Sus scrofa: one gene and its partners. The protein of the gene in region 3 binds, or shares a complex with, the protein of the main gene of each other region. Links are inferred from orthologs where the notes say so. Each region holds a gene or a part of one and is shown on either strand. Other genes may lie near its edges. The genes, in order: ANXA2, HLTF and S100A10.

Region 1 (7,340 bases), on a different chromosome or scaffold from region 3:
CTATGCTGTGGCTGTAGCGTAGGCCTGCAGCTGTGGCTCTGATTTGACCCCTAGCCCAGGAACTTCCATATGCCAAGGGTGTGGCAGTAAAAAGAAAAAAAAAGTACATGAAGACAAAAAATTCGTTAAATAAAGATCTGTTTGGTTTGCAAGCAGCATTGTAGCCAGTGAAAGATGTGCAAAGTAAGAAATGGCCTTAGGATAAAGATGTAATCACATGTGGCTGTAAAATCTTTTTTTTTTTTTTTTTTTTTTTTAGGATCTGGAAAGATTTAATGTGGTAATTTGAAGACCATCTCAGGGCTTCTACAAAACTTAAGTGTCTTGTTCCAACCTGACAAGCCCAAAGTAAAAAGAGAGTTCTGTTTTTAAAAAGAATAATCAATGTGAATTTTGGAGCATGGAGTTAGCCTCATTAAGATTTATAGAAATCCAAAAGTTTTTGAGAAAATTGGATATAAATTTTAGAGCACGAAATGAACCTCAGTAAGATTTATAGAAAACCTATAAAATGTTTTTTTCTTTTTTCAGCTACACCCGTGTTATATGGAGGTTCCCAGGCTAGGGGTTGATTTGGGCCACAGCCACAGCAATGCAGGATCCGAGCCACGTCTTCCATCTACACCACAGCTCATGGCAACACCAGATCCTTAACCCACTGTTCAAGGCCAGGGATTGAACCCACAACCTTCTGGTTCGTAGTTGGATTCGTTTCCGCTGCGCCATGATGGTAACTCCAAAATCCTACAAAATCTTAAGGATAATTGTATGAATGAATGAGCTGTCAGGTTGCCAGTTCAAAATGAAAAGACATTTCTGGACATTTGAGTTTCTACTGGCATGAAAGAGATTGAGAAAACTACTTAACTACAAATATGGACCATTCCTTAAGGAAAGCCATCTCAGAGAGTGGAGTCAAGAGTGGGGAGAAGCAAAGCCAAAAACTGATGAGATGATGCATTAAAACAAGAATTGGCAAACTAGGGCCCATAAAACCAATCCAGGCTGTTGTTGCATAAGCCCACATGCTAAGAGACCTGGCAACTTTAGCTTTTGTTTCTTGAGAGCCACCTGCCATTACTATCTGATGTAAAGAGGAAAACCTGGCAGATGAGTGTCCAAGGGACAGAGAGACCCAGCCTGCTCTCAGCCATTCCAGCAACCCCAGTGGAGGCACCAGCCCAGTGAGTGAAATTCCTTTCCATCGTACCACTTCAGCTGAGCTGCCCCACCCAACATCACGGAGTAGAGACAAGCTGTTCTGAGTCCTGTCCAAATTACAAAACCATGAGCAAATAAATGGTTGTTTATGTTTGAACCACTCAGTTTTGGTGATAATTGGTGGGACTGCGATAAGCAACTTGAGTGCACTGTTTAATCTCTGGACTAGGTAGGAGACATTATTTGGGCTCCAGTTTATTCATCTATACTAATCAAGGATTGGACAAAGTAGTGTCTTTTTTTTTTTTTTTTAATTGGCTTTAGCAATTTAATTGGCTGTTACTGGAGCAGATTTATTTATTTATTTAGCCACTCTTTCAGCATGTGGAAGTTCCAGGCCAGGGATCAAACCCATGCCACAGCAGTGACCCGAGCCACAACAGTGACAATGCTGGGTCTTTAACCTGCTGAGCCACCAGGGAACTCCAAGTTAGTGTCTTAAGGTCCCTCTCTACTCTAACATGCTATTTTTGGGTGAATAATTCCATTCTGTTATTCTGTAGTTTTTAGTAAGTGCCTATGCCTGCTAGCTAGGCACTATTAGTAGTGAGTGCAGCAGATAAAGTGTGAACAAAATAAAGTTAAGGCTTTAGAGGAGACCATGCACTATAGCAGACATAATCTGAGATCTGTTGTAGTAAACATTCTCCCAGCCATGGGGGGAAAAACAAGAAAGGAAAAAGGATCTTTGCACTCAGCCATTCAAAACTTCTTTTATAGAGGCAGAACTGGCCCCACATTGCTCATAAATAGCAAACTGTGACTTCTAACAGCTTCATTTTTCTGATAACAACAGTGTGACATTCTGTAGCATAAAGCAAACTCTGACTATTGAACAGATCTGTATGTTTGGATTTGCTGGATGCCCTAGATAAGCAAAAGCATTCTTTTGGATACTTGGCTTTTAGGTAGTCCACAGGATTTGAATTAAATCTTATCTTCTGTAGAGGGCCTATAACAGCACAACTAGGAGTCAGAGGCTGTGCAATCAGCCCTGAGAAGAGAAAGAGAGTCAGAATCTTGTCCACCATTATTATCATCCTGTGTTCGCCTTCTGTTCCAAAACGTTCAGGGAGTAGGCAGAAAAACACAATTTCTGGCTTAAAAGTTTTCAGTCTAAATTGAATAGCTCTGAATGTAAATCAGAAATTGTATGAACAGAGTTGCTTTCTTTTCTATTTGTCCTTCTGACAGTGCCAATCGTGTTTCATTCTGAGTGAAAGAAATGGGTTGGGTGAGCTCTGAGTTGAGTGTCCAGAGGCCCCGTTTATGGTCTGGATTTGACTTTGAGCTTGGGAACGATGTCTTGGCCTTACCATTTTCTGATTCCCAGGAGTGAAATGATACTGAAGAGTAAAAATGGACGGTAACATAGGTGGAAAATTAAAACACAGAAGCATCAAGACCAGCAGAGAGCTACGTGAGGTGTATGAAAGGAATTAAAAGGAGCCAAGGGCGATCTTTTGGATTCTTAGCATAACTTTCCCTCTAGTTTGAGGTTTGAATACAGTGTTTACGCAGTCATACACAAAACCATGTTTGTCTGCATGTTGCCGCTGCAGTTCGTGGAAAGAGCATGGAAGAAAATGAGAAACTGAACAAAACCAGGGAGCTTACTGAGAGGCTGAGAGGGAAACAAAATCAAACCAAACAAAAAAATGGCAGTTCGGAAAGAAGGAAGGGAGGAAACTTCTTTGTTGGAACTCGAGGTTCTAAACCATCGGCCCCACCCAGTCCAAGGCTGCCTGCCACGAGGACTCGCAGAGCAGAGCTGCTCCACACGGGAGGCTGAACGGTCCCGGGAAGCGTGGAGGGAAACGAAGGGCGCGCTCAGGCAAAGGGCGCCTCCCCGGCGGGGCGGGGGGGTGGTGGGTAAGAACTTGGCTCCGGGTCTGGGCCCCCTAACGCGCCACCCAGCTCCCACCGTAGTTCCACGCCTCGCAGCGCGCTCGGAGGCGGGGGCGGACCAATCGTTTGCCCGCCGGGACCGTGTGGACCGTCCCCCCCCACCCCCACCCGCCGCGCCTCCGCGCGCTCCTCCCAGGAACTGTCGGTCAGAGGTTAAGCTAATATGTGTGCTGTCGGTAACCGGGAGCTGAATGCCAACGGCTCAGCTCGGGGGAATCACGATTTATGTTTCTTGGCACAATTCTTCCTTCCATTGCATTGACGCCTTAAAAAAAAGTGACATAGCCAAGCTCAGAGTCGGCTCAAGTCTTGCCAATTTATAAATTGAGCCGGGGCTGAGAACTCGACGTGGCGCTCCAGAAGTAAAAGAGGAAGGGAGGAAGAAACGAAGCCGGTACTGGGCCTCAAGGAAGCCTCGGCGGCGCTTTACCGGAGGGCAGCGCCGTGGGCGCGGGGCCGCTCCCACTGGCGCGGCCCGGGGAACGTTACAGGGCGAGGCGGACCCTGCGGGCGGCGGCGGGCGGGCTGGGTAGGGTGAGTCACCCCGACTCCCGACTCCGGGTGCGAATGGGCCAGGGCAGGGGAAGGCGGGGCGGGGCGGGGCGAGGCGGGCCTCGGCGGGGAGGATGTGGTGGCTATAAAAGCCCCACCCAGGTCAGGCAGCTCCGCTCTGCATCTGGGGACGCTCGCAGCGCTCGGCGCCTGGCCCAGGTAAGCGGGGCGCCTCGTCCGCCCGCTATGGCCCTGGGGCCACCGCGCTAGCGGGGCGCAGAGAGGCGGGGAAGGAGACGGCCTTGCAAAGAGAAGCTCCAGTGGTGGGGACCCCGAGGCTGTCTGGGGAGAGGGCTGGAGAGTCCGTCCGCACCAGGGGCTCTCTGGGGAGGGGGCATAGTGGGGATCTGGACTGGAGTGAGGGGGGGCCAGGTGCGCCCCAGCCTGGGGAGTGCAGGGCAGAAGAAGGGGGTTGGGCATCCCATCCCCGAAGTGCTCGCAGGAAGCCCGGAGAAGTGGCGCCGAGAGAGGAGCGGGGGGCGGGGGGCGGGGGGAGGCCCCGCATTCCAGACGGGCCAGACGCGGCGGGGGGCAGGGTGTGGCCGCCCTGGAGCCCCGGGTCTGGTGGAGAGCAGACTTACGGCACCCTCCACGCGTTACACGACCCTCTAGAAAGAAATCCCCACCTGTTCCAAGTTACTTTACTTGAAACAGAGGCGCATTTATGGAACTTGTGCCGACTAGTAGAAGGGAAGCAGTGAGGGGAGGATAAGGGGTGGGAGCTGTTAGCAGCGGCCCCCTGCTCCAGTCAAACAAAACAGAATGAAGAAACCTCATTCTCCTTTGTCTAGATTATCTTGTAAGAGCAACTTCTGATTTCCGTGTATCCTTCCCTACTTGGTTGACCACTTTTGCATCGGGAAGGAAGTGTCCCCCAACCCCGGGGTTCTGTGGGGAGGGTTGTCACTGACTGACTTGCACTGATGCAGCAGTGAGTCAGGGACGGAAGGTACAGAAAAGGGCGTGGCCCCTCAGGCCGCTGCTTGGGAGTTCTGTGAGGACGCCAATTCCTACCTTCCTCATAGGGTTGTCATGAAGATTTCAAAAAACACGTTCATTCAAAAATAAATATGTAAAGCACACTGAAAACATTAGGTGCCATACAACACAAAGTGTCCTTATTTTTGTGTTAAGATTTGCCATTTTAAAGTTATTTAAAGGTATTCTCCATCTGTGTACAGAAGAGCAGTAACCTCATGGGTACGTATTGGGTCTTTACCAAGAACCATAGTGTTCTGGAGTCCAGGATTCTGTTCCCCGACACTCAGAGAACTCTACTAGTGGGTTCTATCCAAAAGTGTGCCTAACTGTGCTTGTCTGGAACTTGGTTATTTGGGATGCCGATTTCACTTTCCCACTGAAGCAATGTTATGGAAGGCGCTTAATTTGTCAGACTAGCCCAGAGACCCTGTGTGCACTGAATCAAAAATACTGATAATATATGTGGAATTTGGGAGGTGGGCTGTTGGGGAGCGAAGGGAAAGTGAAAGGGTAGGTTAGGGAGGATATGGAGATAAAAAGAATAAATCACTGAAACATTTCACTGGAACTTTTTCTTCATTTTAAGCTTGACCCTTATTAAATTATTTTAATTGTAAAATTATATCTTTGTCACCCTCCCCACTTTTGTCTCTCTTCCTCCTGATTCTTTGAAGACCCACGCCCCTGCCAAATGGCAAAAGCCCATCCCTGCTTATCCAGTTCTGCATTCCCCTCCTTGTATATCTAGCTAGAGACTAGCAGATTGAATCCATATTCATTAATATTCAATACTAGGAATGGCTGGTGGTCCTAAAATGCCCAGCATCCTAGGGGAGTTGTATTATTTAAAAAAAAACAAAACTTTTTAAACATAAACATCTGTAATTTATAGGATTTGAGGCTATGGAATTAAGGAGCCACATAATAGACAATGTGAAGGGAGATTTTAGATGAGGTCCATTTGAGGGTCCTTTGTGGTCAGTGGTGTTAAGACCATCTCGCAAAGCACTCTCTTCTCTTCTAGCTCCATCTTTTACCTCAAAGCTTCATCAAGGCTTTCTCCAGAAGTTTACAGTGCATCTACAGTGGAAGGGTGTGACCATCAGTGTAAATTTTTTTAGTTGAAGGTTTATGATTTGGGGACCACCTGGATTTTGTGATTTCCTTCAGTGCCAAATGGCTTGCCTGCTGTAAATGCACAGGAAATACTGCTGCCTTACTGGTTTTGATCAGGAGCTTGGTTTTGGACTAGAGTCTCAATATTTAACATCCGTGTCTTTGAGCTATTAAAGTACTGTATCGATTAACGTCCTGGGCGGTCGTGGCCATTAGTTTCCTGACTAATTTCTAATTTAAGTAGTTTTCCTGGCAAGGTAGGTATCTGTCTGTAATTGCTATTGATTTTGAGGGCTGTAGGCTCTTCCTGCACTGTTGGGCCTGGAATCTGGTCTTGATCTTTGCTTGTGTGGGCCTGCTGAAGTGTTTCTCACTAACTGAAGGTGGGTGTGTCACAGAAAAGTCTCAGGCTCTCCTGAGCTGCTTCAAACATCTGTTCATTCAATAATGTTTATTATACCATGTTGTATTCACAGGTAGAAGCACTGGGGATACACCAGTGACCAAAATAGAACAAAAACAAAGAAAATCTCTGCTCTTTAGACTTTAAATCTAGTGGGGAGAAAAATATTAGAGACAAAAATGAGTGAGATGCATAGACAGTCAGTGAATTGTGAACTTGGCCCTTTCCCCACTTAATATTGGTTTCCAGATTTGGTTGGGACTCATTTTCCCTTTAATCCAGCTGTCCCACAGACCTGAGCATCATATTTAACCTGCTTTAGGGAAGGTGTGGTTTAAAGTTATCATGACTTAGCCTGCCTTCCAGATTTGTGAGACTAGAAATGAAATGCTCTTTTTTTTCTCTTGCATGTGGGAATCCACCTCCCTCATAGTCCCTGGTGCCACACCCTGTTCTGGCTGTAGGCTCCATCAGAGGAAATTCCTGTCCTTTAAAAATTTTTTTTTCCGCTCATTCACTGTCGGCTGTATTTTTCCTCCTCCAGTTGCCAGAGGCGGTCCCCAGCTACTTGGTTGGGGCACAGTCGGGGTCAGAAGATGACCAGGCCTGTTCTTCTGTGCGGTTCCACTGAGATTACCTCCAAATCTCTCTCCCAGGGAGCACTCTGAAGCTTTTAACCCCCCTGAGCTCTGTCCTATCAGAAGACGGTGTAGCATTCAAGTGGTCTGAGTTAATACTCCCCAGGCTTGGTGTGGAAAGTTCTGACTCCAGGGAGCAGCTGTCCCATGGAATCCTTGCCCTTTGTCTCTCTGCCACACCCAGTCTCCACACTCCCAGTTCAGAGGAAATCAGAGTCCCAAGGCCACTTGCAAACCCTTCCTCCTTGCCCCTCCTTCTCTGCCTTCCTTACTGAAGATGTGGGTAACATTTCCACATTGTCTTGTGGACAGAGCTGGACCTAGGGGACCCCGGTGGTAAAGAGGGGGGTGTTGGGCAGGGTGTGTGAGGGGAGGTGAGCCACATGTGATGAGATGGAGGCGGTACCCGGAATTGATCTACCAGGCTTTACAGAGATTGGAACCTCCGAGCCTGGGAACTTAAGCCTCAGCTCTGAACATATGGAACCAGACCTGCACTTGAGATATTCTGAGGAAAAGAA
Region 2 (7,266 bases), on a different chromosome or scaffold from region 3:
AATGTTTACATTGGAAGAATGTTTACAAGATAAAAAGCTTTTATTAAAATTAAAATTAAGTGTTCAAATCAAGAATCCAAAAACGAAATAAAATGGACCTAAGGAAAATGGAATAACGGAACATAAAAATCAATGAACATAGATGATGATAAAAAAAATACCCCAGGGAGTTCCCATTGTGGCTCAGTGGCAACAAACCTGACTAGTATCCATGAGGATGCCAGTTCAATCCCTTCTATCTATCTATCTATATATATGAAAGAAATAGGAGTTCCCATTGTGGCACAGTAGAAACGAATCTGACTTGGAACCATGAGGTTGTGGGTTCGATCCTTGACCTCGCTCAGATCTGTTGTGGCTGTGGCTGTGGCTCCGATTTGACCCCTAGTCTGGGAAACTTCATATGCTGCGGATGTGGCCCTAAAATGCAAAAAAAAAAAAAAAAAAAAAAAAGGAAAGGATATCCATTTGGAGTTCCCGTCGTGGCGCAGTGGTTAACGAATCTGACTAGCAACCATGAGGTTGCGGATTCGATCCCTGCCCTTGCTCAGTGGGTTAACGATCCGGCGTTGCCGTGAGCTGTGGTGTAGGTTGCAGATGCGACTCGGATCCCGCGTTGCTGTGGCTCTGGCGTAGGCCGGTGGCTACAGCTCCAATTCGACCCCTAGCCTGGGAACCTCCATATGCCGCGGGAGCGGCCCAAGAAACAGCAACAACAACAACAACAACAAAAAAAAAAAAAAAAAAAAAAAATACCCCAGGGAGTTCCCATTGCGGCTCAGTGGCAACAAACTTGACTAGTATCCATGAGGATGCCAGTTCAATCCCTTCTATCTATCTATCTATATATATGAAAGAAATAAACAAAAAGGTCCTACTGTATAGCACACAGAACTATATCCATTCTCCTGGAATAGACCATGAAGGAAAAGAATATTAAAAAAGAATGTATATACACATATGACTGAGTTGCTTTGCTGCACAGAAGAAAGTGGCACAATACTGTAAATCAACTATATTTTTAAATTCTGAAATAGAAGAAAATTAAGTTACAGAACAGTCAACACTAAGACATCACCAAATGAAACTACTGGACTTTCAACATAAGCGAAATAATCTTCAGTTATCCAAGCAAGGTAAGTCCGATTCACTTATGTAGGAGAGAATCACATTGGCATCAGAATTTTCACCAGCAATATTTTATACAATATCAACATATCATGGAGATGGAGTTCCCATTGTAGCTCAGGGGAAACAAATCTGATTAGCATCCATGAGGATGCAGGTTTGATCCCTGGCCCTGCAAAGGATCTGGCATTGCTGTGAGCTGTGGTATAGGTCGCAGATGTGGCTTGGATCTAGCATTGCTGTGGCTGTGGTATAGGCCAGTGGCTACAGCTCTGATATGACCCTTAGCCTGGGAACCTCCATATGCCATGGGTGCAGCCCAAAAAAGACCAAAAAAAAAAAGATATCATGGAGAAAAAAACATGGGTCAAGGATTTTATATTCAACCTAACTGCCCTTGAAGCATAAATATCCCAATTATGAACATTTAAAAAAATCAGGAAATGGTGTTCCTTCCTAAGGATGTCCTAGACACCACATTTCAGCACATTTCAGACAATTACAAAATAATCTGAGAAATGCAGTACTATAAAGAAAATATGGGAAAATAAAACACTAAACAAATCTAGATCATAGAATTCTTTCGCAAGGTGTCTCCTTCAAAACATGCTTCAGACAATCAAAAAATGATTTGAGAAGCTTAAACATAAGAAAAATATTGAGGAATAGAAGAACTAACAAGTCCAACTTCCCATAGAACAACACATGCAGTTTCTGCAATAAATCAATGACGTGAAACAAAGGGTGACTTATGAAACATAACAACCAAAGGGATATTAACTTGTTTTGGTTCTGATTTTTAAAAAATTAATTATAAAAAGGCATTTGTAAACAATCAAGATAAGTTATTATGGATTAGTTATTAGGTGTAATAGAAACTAGTATTATTTTGTTAAATATAACAATGAGAAAGAAAATTTCTAAATTTTTTAGGTACACACTTAAATGTTGTAAAGTGATGCAGCTGGAATTTTTAGTACCAAAGAAAAAGAAAGTGATGAGCAAATGTGCAAAAAACTTGTCTAACTGCTGAATATGGATCATAAGTATATGAAAATTCATTGTATCATTCTAATTCTATGCATGTTTGAAATTTTTCATAATTAAAAAAAAAAAGTAGGAGTTCTCGTTGTGGTGCACTGGAAATGAATCTGACTAGGAACCATGAGGTTGCGGGTTCAGTCCCTAGCCTCATTCAGTGGGTTAAGGATCTGGCGCTGCTGTGAACTGTGGCATAGGTCGCAGACGTGGCTCCGATCTGGGCTTTGCTGTGGCTGTGTAGTAGGCCAGCAGCTACAACTCTCATTCGACCCCTAGCCTGGAACCACCATATGCTGCAGGTGCCCTAAAAGACGAATAAATAAATAAATAAATAAATAAAAATAAAAGTAGATATATCATCCAAATAACACAGAGCATACTAGACAACCATAACAAAGACAACTGCTTTCTCTTTGTCTCTGTTTTCTCTCTCTCACATACACAGAGCAGAAAACAGAGATACAGAAACATAAACGCAGGAAGAAAAATTGGAAATAGTTTTACTATAGAAAGGAAAAAAAGACCTAAAAGTAGACAATTCTCTTGTCTAGTACTTCCTACATTAAAAATACTAAAATGTAAAAATGTGCTGAAGGATAGGAAAGGAGAAAGCAAGAGACTTGGAAGTTATTTTGCAAATTTACCACATAGTATCTGTACTTTCTATGCAAATCATTTAACCATCCTGAGCTACCTTTACTCAGTTCTAGAAAGGGATAATAGATGTCCTACTACCTCAGAGACACTCTAGTGATCAAATGAGACCATACAGGAAACAGTGCTTTGTATATTGTGACCATGATATAAATGTAAAAGAATGTAAGTAATTAGGTATTTGTTATCTCTTCCCTAGATATATTTCAATTACTTAAATTAAGATATTTACTGCACATATCACCTTCTCACTCTTATTTTCTACATTAATAGATGACATCATATAAACTTAGTATCTAATATTATACTCACTACTCCTGTGTAATAGCGTAGTCCAACTACATGACCTCTCAAAGTACCAAATAAAACTGAATCTAGCTCTTCATCACTCGTTAGGAAGTCATCTGGAGGAATAATATCTTGGAATTCAAAACGTGGAAAGAAAGTTGGATATGAGAGGCGTGGAAAATTTCCATGGACTCCATACTGGACAGTTTGCAAGTACTTCCAAACAGGATCTCTTAAAACAAAACAAAACAAAAACAAAAAACAGGAAAACAATACAATATTTAACCAAATATTTCTCAAAGACTATACCACACTTAAAGGCCAATTGTTTTCTCACACTTCATTTCAAAAAATTAAATCTCATGTGGGAAGGGCTATATGAAGATTAATATATATAGTTCCTCTGGTTAAAGCAGGGATTAAAGTGAGTACAGGTTTCTAGAAACCCTACCTACCTGTTCAATAATGTCTCTTCTGCCCACAGGTACTCAAAGTGAAAACCCCAATAAGGGTTCACAAACCTCTTTCCTAGTGATGATCACCTATTTAAAGTAAAATGTGTGTGATGTCTGCAAATAATTATATGCCAAAATTTCAATAGAGAATGAGCTGGAAGAGACTTGCAAATAAAGGACTATCTATACATGAAGCCATTTATAACTTTACAAGTAATACATCCAACATCCATTACGTGAATTCTCCTCGAAGAGACCCCGCATTTTATTCAGGTATCCAAACCATGTCACAATGGGAAGCTGACATCAAGCCTCCCCTCCCTTGGTTTAAGGGTAACCTCAATTCCCCCATAGATAATTGGAGAGCTGTTTCTGGAACGGGTATGTAACCCAATTTGGACAATGAAGAGAGGAAGCCGGAGAGGGGGCTTTCAGGAAGCTTCTATTATCCTAAGAACGGACTGACGCTATTTCCCCAGCGCTTGGCTTGCACGTCGCGCATACTGCTTCTGGCTCCCCTGCAGATAGATATTTGCACGTCTGTGCACGCACATCAACGGTGAGCTCCTTGAGGATACGGGCTGTCTTATCCGGCCCTTTCTGCCGAGCACAATGCCGAGGGCACAGTGGGTATCTGATGAGTGTCTTGCAGGTCACAATCCCGGCCTAAGAGTGTGGCTTTGAGCCAGGCCCCCTTACAGCCCTTGACAGAAATTTCCCCAAGCCCTGGCATGAGATTCGCCTGAGGAGCCTCCCCTCGCCAGTCAAAACTGTGCATTTCTTTCTCCCGCAGCTATTAAAAGCCGCCAGCAGGACGAACACTGGCTGCACAGCTCGCACGGGTAACGCGAAGGAAACGCGGGGAAGGTCAGGTTCATCTAGGGACGCCGCCAGGCCGTTACCCCCGGTGCCCAACCCCCTCCGCCCCCTTCACCTCTTAAACATCCAGGACATGGCGCTGGGTGGGTGACGAGGGGAACGCTTGGGCGCCCGGGATCGTTCTCGAGCGGCCTCGATAAGTCTCCTTCCAGGGCCCGCGGCCGAGAAGCCGGGGACAGGTTTCTAGAGCCGCGAGCAAGAGCGCACTCCAGAAAGGTGAGACGCCGGGAGCCTAGTCAGACGTCGACGCCGACCCCTTCCAGCAACAATCTGAGAGACAAGTGACGCTTTGTGACTGGCACCGCCTACCTCCAATCCCGAGGAGGAGTTTACGCAGACGAACCAATCAGGGCACGGAGGGGTGGGCAGCTCCGCCCCGCGCAGCGATTCAAAGACTTGGGGGGCTGTCCCCGCTGCAGGGGCGGTTCCATCCGGGTTCTCCCTCAACCCCAAGCTAGTCGCGCGGGAAAGCCACGCGGCCCCAGCAGGCGGACTACGGTGCTTACGGTGTTCGCGTTTCTGATTGATTCCCCGCCTCAAGCAGAGGGCGACCACTGTCTTTTGCACTGTTTCCCTCAAGCCCTAAGCCTCAGCCCCATTCTTCAGGCTCTACCTCAGCCTACCTCGAATTTTCTCTTCATCTGATGTGACATATAGTAGGGTATTCCACTGAATAAGCTCCCGGCTTTAAGAGCCCTGGAGCTACCAACGAGATCCTGTCCTTCATCTTCTGTGGTGAACCCGTGTAGTTGCCCTTAAAATGTGCATTTTAAACCCCGCTAGCTAACCAATGAGACAGACCGGCCTCAGAGAGCATAATTGCAGTTTCGATTTATGGAGTCCCTACCCCCCACCTCTTTTTTAAGAGAAATTTTTCATTCTACTAGAGGAAAGCCATAAAATGAGATGACAGCACAAGAGCTTTATTGGTGACTGCTGGAAGTGGCCAAGTTTCCCCTGGGGGTAAGCTGCTGTCCCTGCGGGGCAGGAAGAAGTTGGTTTTCCGTGGGGAACTGTAGGGGGCACTCCCAAGGGCTCTGTCGCCCTCTTTTGAGAGTCTGAGGAGACTCAGGAGAATTCGGCTTTGAGTGGGTGGGCGAGTGGGCCGGCTGCAGCGCAGGCGCTGTCAGGGCTGGTTCTCTGTCCCCTGGGAGCCTTTTAACTTGTGCAGCAGCAGCCCTAGGGTAACAAGCTGGTGGTGGCCCTGACCTGTGCTTTGGACTTGATATAACTGTAACACAACTGCTTGTGGACCAAAGAGGAAATGTATTTGAGAAAGGGGTTAGTGTTGACCCGTGCCCTTCGAAGAGTGGTCCATTTTACACGTCCATCAGCAGGGTATGACAGGCAGTCAATGAAACAGTTTTTCAAGAGGCATTTGTTGATTAACTTAAACTATCACAATCTGTAAATATGAACCTACAGTAGAATGAGAAAAGAAACTTGCAGCAACTTATTCATTTCACTAAATAGAAGGAAGATGAAGAGAATGGCATTTCAAATTATTTTAGTTATTTTACTTTCTTCTGGAAGTAGTATGAGGCAAAAGGCAATATTGTTCAGTTTTTGATGTGCCAGATCTAAATAACCGATCTATTGGAAAATACGGCAGTAAATGCCTAAATTGAAAATGATTTATGTGTAAAGTTAATAAATTATGTTCGTCAGACTGAAAGATAAAATTGCAAATGTACCAATATAGGTAAACCTTACTCATTCAAGACTTGACACCTGTTAGGAAAGGCCATCCCACAGGTAAAGAATATGGATTGAATGCAGTAAAAACACCTATTTAAAGTCAACGTTTGTGTTTATATTGTCACTATTTTACATCTCAGACCTAGCAGCTGAACTTACTTGAACACTTTCACTTAATCATTCTTTATTATTTTTAGTTTTAAAAAAGGGTAATTTGTACTAGTTTGATTAAAATGTCACAACACTTACAAATTCAGAACTATCACACCAGATAATGTTTTCTGAAAAATGAACATTTATAACTGAAAAAAGAGAATTGGACAATGTCTTGTGTGTTGGACTGATGGATAAGGAGGAGATTGTCACAAAGAGGACAGCAAAGAAGATAAGGGCCAGATAACATACAAATTTATAGTCTATGATAGAGTTTTATTTTAAATGCAATAGAAAGTCACTAAATGTTTTTAGCAGGAGAATGACAAATCTAAAAATAGGCTTTAAAAAATTCACTCTGGCAGCTCTGTGGAAAATGGGAACAAAAACAGAAACAGAGAGACTGGTTAGTTGATAATCAGGAAATGATTGTGTCCAGGAGAGAAATGATGATAGCGTGGAATGGGGAGGTGATGAAACTAAGACAAACCAAAGGGTTTGCTAATGGATTTGGATATGGGTGCTGAGGAAGGGGAAAGAGTAAAAAATTCCTCCAGCTACCCACCTCCTAGTCACAAACATGCTTTCTCATCCTCTCTTCCACTTTATGCAAATTAAACATGTCCCTTCCCTGTTTGATGCTATGAGCATGAAGTCAAAGAATGGCATGTGTGCCCCCCCCCTTTTTTTTTGTCTTTTTAGGGCCACAACTGCAGCATATGGACATTCCCAGCCTAGGGGTCGAATCAGAGCTGCAGCTTCCAGCCTACACCACATCCATAGCAACACCAGATCCTTAACCCACTGAGTGAGGCCAGGGATCGAACCTGAATCCTCATGGATACTTGTCGGGTTTGTAGCCGCCTGAGACACAACAGGAACTCTCATGTGTGGCTTTTTATAATCTGTCCCCTACTTCTCACCCCTGTCACTTCCCAACACACCCTGCCTATAATGGCCTTCATATGCA
Region 3 (7,459 bases):
CCATTGAGCCATGACGGGAACTCCCCCTCTCCTCTGGTTTTCAAAACTATTTTCCTTTTCACGACCGTGGATCTTCTGATCAGCCCCTGTTCTGCCTTCTTATTGCAGACAGTCTTCCAGACAAACAGGGAGTCTTCTGGCTGCTGTGTGCACAGCCCATGTGCTGAGTATACAGCAAAGGGGATCCGGTGGGGCAGAAAAGCTCCAGCACTGGATAATGAGCACAGACTAGGAAGGGGTGGGTTTGGAGTGACCTGAGACCTGAGTGCTCCTCAGAGAAAACTGGTCTCAGTCTCTTGAAGAACATATTCAAGGGTGGCCAAGACTTCCTCAGCTTACAACCTTTATTTCTTAGAAGTTCCTAAATTAGCCTGTTTTCTATTTTAGGGGTCCTTAGCCTGCTGCCTTCCCTTTCTTACTTCTCTGGCTTTGCTGTGCATTTTCCTTCTGTTCTGCCCTGTGAAGAAAGTAAACTCGATATCCCACAGCCAGTTGGAGTTTCTGGGACCCTCAGGCATTGGTTGTGAAGGACTCTGCCACTTGAGCTAGAGGTATTTTTAAACCTCTGTGGTGGCTGACTGCTTTCCTAGTTATTCAGAACTGGGGTGGGACGCCACACAGCCTTCTCCCATAGGTGATTTATTCAGCTCAGATCTCTTAAGTTGCTGTACTTCCAGAGCCAATCTCGGCCACTGCCATCTGAAGCCCACTGCCATCTGAAGCCAGATCCTGACTGTGTCAGAAGAAAGGAGAAAAGGTGTGGTTCCCCTGGAATTCATCCCACAGTGGACCTTGAATTTTTTGCTCTCTCCAAGAGACCTGCCTGCCAGATGAATCATGCCAGATTCTGGTTTATAACATTCTCTAGAGTAGCACATTCTTTGGCATGCTGATTCCTGTACTTTTCTGGGGATTAAGGGGTAGAACTTTTGACATGTACTTGCTCAATCCTTGTGTTCACCAACTCCACCCTCTTCCCCCATAAAAGATAGTATTCAGGGATATGTTACACACGCATATGTCAGCAGCAGAAACCAGGCTGAAACCACGTCTCTGGTTCCTGTATCAACCCTTCAGGGGAAGATGCCAGACTTTCCTTCAACCTCTGTTCAAAACCTATTCTTATCTTTTTTTTTTCCCACGGTATATATTACAGTCTCTATTCAAGTTCATCTGTTTCTTATCCTGGAGTGATTTTAGGTGCTGTTAACTAAAGCTACTCTGTTCTGGCCAAAGCCTGCCTTCCAATTAAGCAAAATTCAGTGGGCTCCTGTTGGGTACCAAGTGTATGTCTTGATTAGACACATGTCCTCAGATTATTATACCTGAATATAACAATCTGACATCTCCTTTATCTTTTTATTTAATTAATTTATTTATTTAGGCCGCATCCCTGGCATATGGAAGCCCCCAGGCCAGGGATCAAACCCAAACTGCAGTAGTGGCAATGCCAGATCCTTAACCCACTGCACCACAAAAGAACTCCTTTCTTTAACTATTCACAATGAAAAGCTCTTGCTCTCCCACTGCACCCCAGACGGTGAGAGTAGGTCTTTTGTCTAGTGCTGCCAAGGATATATCAGATCCCCAAAGGAATTAGGATGGATATACTATTACCTGTTCTTTTTCAAGAAAGTAGATAATGGGCTTTGGGTAGCTTTATTTGAGGAGGGCAACTGCAACTCACTACCAAAGATGCAGATGTTTGTTAGAATCTATAGCAAGTTCAGAACTTTTAGTAAAGAATACATACTCAGCATATGAAAGTCATTTGTAAGCAGATTTCTTAAGCATAGACTTAAACTAAACTAAGTTACTTAATTCAGCTTTTGGAGAATTGAAGTTTTCGTATTAACCAAGCTTGACTGTGCGAGTTGTTGGTATTCAGCTATATCTGAGTCCCATTTACCGGTGCCAAGAGAAATGATGAAACATCTCTCAGTAGGAGCTTTGTCAGTTAAAAAGAGGGGCACTGATCTTGCTTTTCCAAATGATTAGAATTTTTATTCTTCATTGGGTGATTTGTGCAGTTAACAGGCAACTAGATCAATCCCTCCTTCAGAGCAGCAGTACCTAAAGTGCCTATTTCCATCAGCAGGAGACCCCAAACCTGGGATGAATTGGTCCTGATGTATTCATTGAATTTTACAGTTAAAAAGGATGGACTGGATGAGCAAATTGCCCTCTTCCAATCATTCTCAAAAGACTGGTAAATCATGTGGTTTAAAAGTTAATGTAGGAGTTCCCGCTGTGGTGCAATGGGATAAGCTGCATCTTGGGAGCTCTGGGATGTAGGTTCGTTCCTGGGCTTGGCACAGTAGGTTAAGGATCTGGTGTTGCCACAGCTGTGGCTTAGGTGGCAGCTATAGCTCAGATCTGATCCCTGGCCTGGGAACTCCATATACCACAGGGCAGCCAAAAAAGGGGGAAAAAATGTAAATTCTGTCGCTTCACATCCTTTAATAGGTTTCAACAGACCTCACGAAAATGCCGTCTCAAATGGAACATGCCATGGAAACCATGATGTTCACATTTCACAAATTTGCTGGGGATAAAGGCTACCTAACAAAGGAGGACCTGAGAGTACTCATGGAAAAGGAGTTCCCGGGATTTTTGGAAGTAAGTATTGAAAGGCTCAGAGAGAACCAGACATAGAAATCAGTGCTTCTGGGCCCTGGTTCCTGTCCCTTCCTCTTTCCAGCCCTTCCCGGGGGAAGTCAGTGCTAGAAAGGTGTTTTCATTCATTTATTGATTAAATATACTGAGTGCCTACTGTTTGTAAGACAGTGGGGTTGGAAACAGAAAGTAAAGAAGACACTGCCTCTGCCCTCAAGGAGCTTTCAGTTTGGAGGTGAAATGAGACTACACACAAATCACCACAGTTTGAGGTGTTAGAGCGACTTTATCTGGAGTCATCTGCCTCCATAGAGACAGAGTTGCAGGAAAAAAGGCCTTGCACCAGGGAGTAATCAACCAGGGTGCCTGGCTGTCCTCAGGCTGTCCTTTGAGCAGCTTGAATCTCCTTTCTTAAATCCCTTCAGATAAAGGCTTTAAAATTCTTTTTTCGAGCTCTACTATAAGGGAATGGTGTGAAATTTACTAAATGAGAGCCAGGCATTGCTCAAGAAATAACTGCTTTTCCCACTGAAAAGGCTGTGTGAACATAGGAGAACAGTTTGGGTTTATGCCTCACCTCTGACAGCCTGAGAGGGATCAGTGAAGGAAGAGGATCTCCCATCAGCTCAGATACATCATTCAGGACATCAGGCCACAAAGCACAGTAGTTCTTTTATACTGCAGGCCCTGGAGAGATGGTTACTGCATTTCACTGAAAGTGAAACATTGCCTAACAAAATAGTAGATTGAAATGCAAGCCCTTCTCTCGCTGCCACAGTCAGAGGTGCTTGAAGCATCACTGTGCTTGGTGTGGAATATTGCATTACCTCTAAAGGGTGGAGGGAGGTGATGGTTAAAGGCAGGGTCCTTTCTCTTGTCATCTGCCTGGTAAATGGCATTAGTCAAGCCTCTGACTCCTGACTCAGTAAACATAGGGTTTTGTAGTACATAATGATTCGCATGTCATCAGTACCAGTCAAACAGATATAAATAGCTTAACTAGCTTCTCAGAGCTGCAGTTACCACAATGCTCTCCCAGAATGAGTTCGAGGATACTGTTGCTCTGCTTTTGTTGAGTTCTGTGATATAGCCCCAGACCAGGAATTAGATGATCTGGCTCTGCCCGAACTAATATCAGGCAGGTTGCTTCAGTTTTCTGGGCCTCAGTTCCCTCCTCTGTAAAATGAGAGGGCTGGACGTGATTACCTCCAAGATCACTTTCACGTTCTGTGACCCTTCCAGGCAGGCATTAAATTCAAGGACAAAATGTGCTTATTGTAAAGCTTCCCACCACACAAACAAAGGCACTCTGGGTCTATTCCTAAATACTCAGGAGTTAGAAGCCAGGATGACCATCACATGAGACAAAGACCCTTCCTCCTAAAGGCTCTGTGGCTTGATAAATTCAAGTGTTCAGCAATGAGTACTAAACATGGCAGTTTAATTTATTCAAGGATGGGGTCATAATTCCAGGCACATCCACACTCGCTGCATTGACAGAGCATTATGTCATCCAGATTTCACTCCTTCTGATCTCAGCCAGGAAACTGGGGTCGAGGCCAGAATTAACTGAAACCCACCAAAAGCAGAGGCAGCTGTATAGACAGGTTGGAGTTGATTTCTTAGGGCATGTGGGAAATGCTGCTGCTTCACCTTAAGGGATTTCTGAGTGCAGTTTATAAACATCCAGCACACTGGAGACACTGAGTGTCTATTCCCTCCCTCACATATACGAGTCCGTGGAATTCATAAATACTTTACCTGAGCCCTTTAACACCGGTAAAGGGCCATATCTCCTTCTGGTTGACGGCATGGACCCTGCAGGAGAAACCACCCTTTCCCACTTCTAAGCACCATCACTACAGAAAGGAGCGATCAAGTCAATCACAATGAAAGCAGGATAAAAGAAAAAACAAAGGGGATCTTGCCTGTCCATCCCAGTTCCATGCACTGGCATTAAGAGTCATGGGGAGTTTAGGATTCCATTACATATATTGCTTTTGAAGTACATTCAATGTAAAAACATCCAGCAAAGAGTACAGGATGGCATAGACGGGCCAACGCATTAAGAATAGAAGCAATCTTAGAGACACTCTGGTCCTACTTCAATTCTTAGCTGTTATACAAAGGCCCACCAAAGCTATGTGACTTACTTAAGGTCACCTGGCTAATGTGATGTGAAGCCACACTAGGTTGGCCTCAGATGTGCCAAGAAATGAGGACCATCTGCCTACCCTCTTTAAACCTAACACGCCCCATGGTATCACAAGTGCCTCTTTAAAACCCATAGAACAATGATCTAAAACTTAACTCTCTAAATAATCACATGAGGTCTTTTATAAGGAGTTTTCTTTGTCAAGGACTTGATCATGCTATTGGAAATAAAAGTTTGTTAAGAGACTTTAAACTACAAAATAGGGAGTTTGGAGTACTGCTTAGGCAGAATCTTATTATTTTGAAAACTGTATTAACAATTGGACTATAAGGAAAGCAAATCAGAAGACTATGCTGGATTCTAAGAGGACTGAGAATTCAAAGTTGGGGGGGGTCTCCCTTCTCTGGCATTGAACCTCCTCTTTCTAGAAATATGCTGTTTCTAAAGTCCCTGAGTTATTTAAAAGAAAGCCATGAAACCCTCTCTCCTAGCCTGAAATAAATATGAATTTACAGAAATGCTCCCTCAAAGGGAAAACATACATTTAGATGACCTCCAAAAATCACTTATGACCTAAAGCAAGATTTCAAATCATTAGATTTTATATATAGTTGTCAGCCATACACATCACAAGAAGCTCATTGTTGCAACCACTGATTGATACTACTTGCCTCTGTTCTTTTTTTTTTTTTTTTTTTTTTTTTTTCAGAATCAAAAAGACCCTCTGGCTGTGGACAAAATAATGAAGGACCTGGACCAGTGCCGAGATGGGAAAGTGGGCTTCCAGAGCTTCTTTTCGCTAATCGCTGGGCTCACCATCGCATGCAATGACTATTTTGTTGTACACATGAAGCAGAAGGGAAAGAAGTAGGCAGCACTGAGCAATCATGCCGCCCTGATAAGAATTCTCACAAAGGGTCGCTTAAGGAATCTGCCCCCCCCCAGCTTCCCCCTGTATAAGGATTTCCTGAGCAGACTGGGACCCTTAGAAAGTGTACAAATAAAACCCAACTCTGCTTTGAGAAGCAGAGAAAGACAAGTCAATTAAACCCAGATAAGCTTTTGATTTTTATATTGCTTGCATCCTCTTACCCTCAATAAACAAATTTCCTTTTTTAGTTCTGAATTTGAAACAGAATGTTTGTTTGCTTCTTCAGAAATGCTTGTTTCCTGCTTTGTTTTACAAAGAGCCCCCATACCTTGGGCATCTAGCATGAGGCGGAGCTCTTTCCACAGACCCTGCAAACTGGGAGAGCACAGTCTACCAAGGCTTGCAGTCTAATCTCGAAATTGAGCTGCCTGCCCTGTAGCTGTGTCTAGCTGAAGGACAAAAATGCCAAGGATTAAGAGAAGGCACTTCAGGAATACGTTCCAACTTTATAATGACGGAGCATAGTCCTGCCTAGTTAAATCGGTGCCTTTCCAACCACCACTTTGTATGCCCGAGACATCTGAGTCCATTTTTCACAGCAAAGTTTCAGCAAACTCTAGGGTAAAAATAAGTCCAATAAGCCATAAAAAGGAGTGAAATAGTGCCATCTGCAGCAACATGGATGGACCTAGAGATAGTCGTCTTGGGTGAAGTAAGTCAGACAGAGAAAGACGGGTATTATGTGAGATCACTCATGTGTGGAGTCTAATAAAAAAAGACACAAAGAGACTTATTCGCAGGACAGAAACAGTCTCAGCGATTTCAAGACCAGACTTATGGTTATGCAAGAGGAAATGCTGGGTGGAGGGATGCATTGGGAGGCTGGGATTGGCATGTACACACAACTATATACAAAATCGATTGGTAACAGGGACCTGCTGTATAGCTTGGGGAAATCATTCAGTGCTCTGTGATGGCCTATATGGGGAAAGAATCTGAAAAGGAATGGATATATACATATGGGTGTGGCTGATTTGCTTTGGTGTACACCTGAAACTAACACAGCATTGTGGGTCACCTATACTCCAATAAAATTTATTTCAAAAAATATAAAGGAGTTACCTTGTGGCTCAGCGGATTAAGGATCCAGCATTGTCACTGCAGAGCTCTGGTTACTGCAGTAGAATGGGTTCGATCCCTGCCCCATGAACTACTGCATGCTGTGGGCATGGCCAAAAAAATAAAATAAATTCAGACATAAAGTCTATAAGATAACAAATTAAAATCAGTCTAGTGTGATACCTCACTAACAAAATCACATTAACATTTTCTGAGTTGTTGGAGTTCCCGCTGTGACTCAGTAGAAATGAACCGGACTAGTATCCATGAGGAAGTGGGTTCAATCCCTGGCTTCGCTCCGTGGGTTAAGGGTCCAGCGTTGCCGTGAGCTTTGGTGTAGGTCGAAGACGAGGATCGGATCTGGCATTGCTATGGCTGTGGTGTGCAGGCTGGCAGTTGCAGCTCTGATTCAACCCCTAGCCTGGAAATTCCATATGCCACAGGTGTGGCCCTAAAAAAAAAACAAACAAAAAAACCCTCTGAGTTGTCATGAGATGCCATGATTGTACTGAGATGTCAGAAATAGGTTAGGCATGATTTTTATAATGAGTTGGTGGGTTTTTGCTGAAAATGAAATGCCAATACTTATGTACTGATAAATAGCAAAACGTTTCTCCCAGCCCTTTCTGTGCAGTTACAAGCTTCAGCATATATGCATTCCACAGCTATATTATAATGGCCTTGCTTATTAATAACAC

What was found.
Region 1: the proteins of S100A10 (region 3) and ANXA2 are in contact, whole or in part, in a crystal structure (PDB 4FTG), measured with the Homo sapiens proteins. The link is inferred for Sus scrofa from reciprocal best matches to the Homo sapiens genes S100A10 and ANXA2. Residues at the interface, in NP_002957.1 of Homo sapiens: Phe39, Gly41, Phe42, Asn45, Gln46, Ala51, Lys54, Ile55, Leu79, Ala82, Cys83, Tyr86, Phe87, Met91; in NP_001002857.1 of Homo sapiens: Val4, Glu6, Ile7, Leu8, Lys10, Leu11, Ser12, Leu13.
Region 2: the proteins of S100A10 (region 3) and HLTF are in contact, whole or in part, in a crystal structure (PDB 4HRE), measured with the Homo sapiens proteins. The link is inferred for Sus scrofa from reciprocal best matches to the Homo sapiens genes S100A10 and HLTF. Residues at the interface, in NP_002957.1 of Homo sapiens: Phe42, Asp58, Leu59, Asp60, Gln61, Gln70, Ser74, Leu75, Ala77, Gly78, Leu79, Ile81, Ala82, Tyr86; in NP_001305864.1 of Homo sapiens: Thr32, Phe33, Phe34, Pro35, Phe37, Phe39.

What each region holds. Positions count from the first base shown.
Region 1 is NC_010443.5:111,585,427-111,592,766, forward strand, and holds the start of ANXA2 (annexin A2), read left to right. Parts: upstream 1-3,294; 5' UTR 3,295-3,523; intron 3,524-3,797; exon of another isoform or gene 3,798-3,840; intron 3,841-7,340. UniProt on the Homo sapiens protein: Calcium-regulated membrane-binding protein whose affinity for calcium is greatly enhanced by anionic phospholipids. It binds two calcium ions with high affinity. May be involved in heat-stress response.
Region 2 is NC_010455.5:89,328,284-89,335,549, forward strand, and holds the start of HLTF (helicase-like transcription factor), read right to left. Parts: upstream 4,732-7,266; 5' UTR 4,521-4,731; coding exon 4,501-4,520; intron 3,344-4,500; coding exon 3,136-3,343; intron 1-3,135. UniProt on the Homo sapiens protein: Has both helicase and E3 ubiquitin ligase activities. Possesses intrinsic ATP-dependent nucleosome-remodeling activity; This activity may be required for transcriptional activation or repression of specific target promoters.
Region 3 is NC_010446.5:97,266,614-97,274,072, forward strand, and holds S100A10 (protein S100-A10), read left to right. Parts: upstream 1-2,466; 5' UTR 2,467-2,487; coding exon 2,488-2,619; intron 2,620-5,480; coding exon 5,481-5,642; 3' UTR 5,643-5,680; downstream 5,681-7,459. UniProt on the Homo sapiens protein: Because S100A10 induces the dimerization of ANXA2/p36, it may function as a regulator of protein phosphorylation in that the ANXA2 monomer is the preferred target (in vitro) of tyrosine-specific kinase.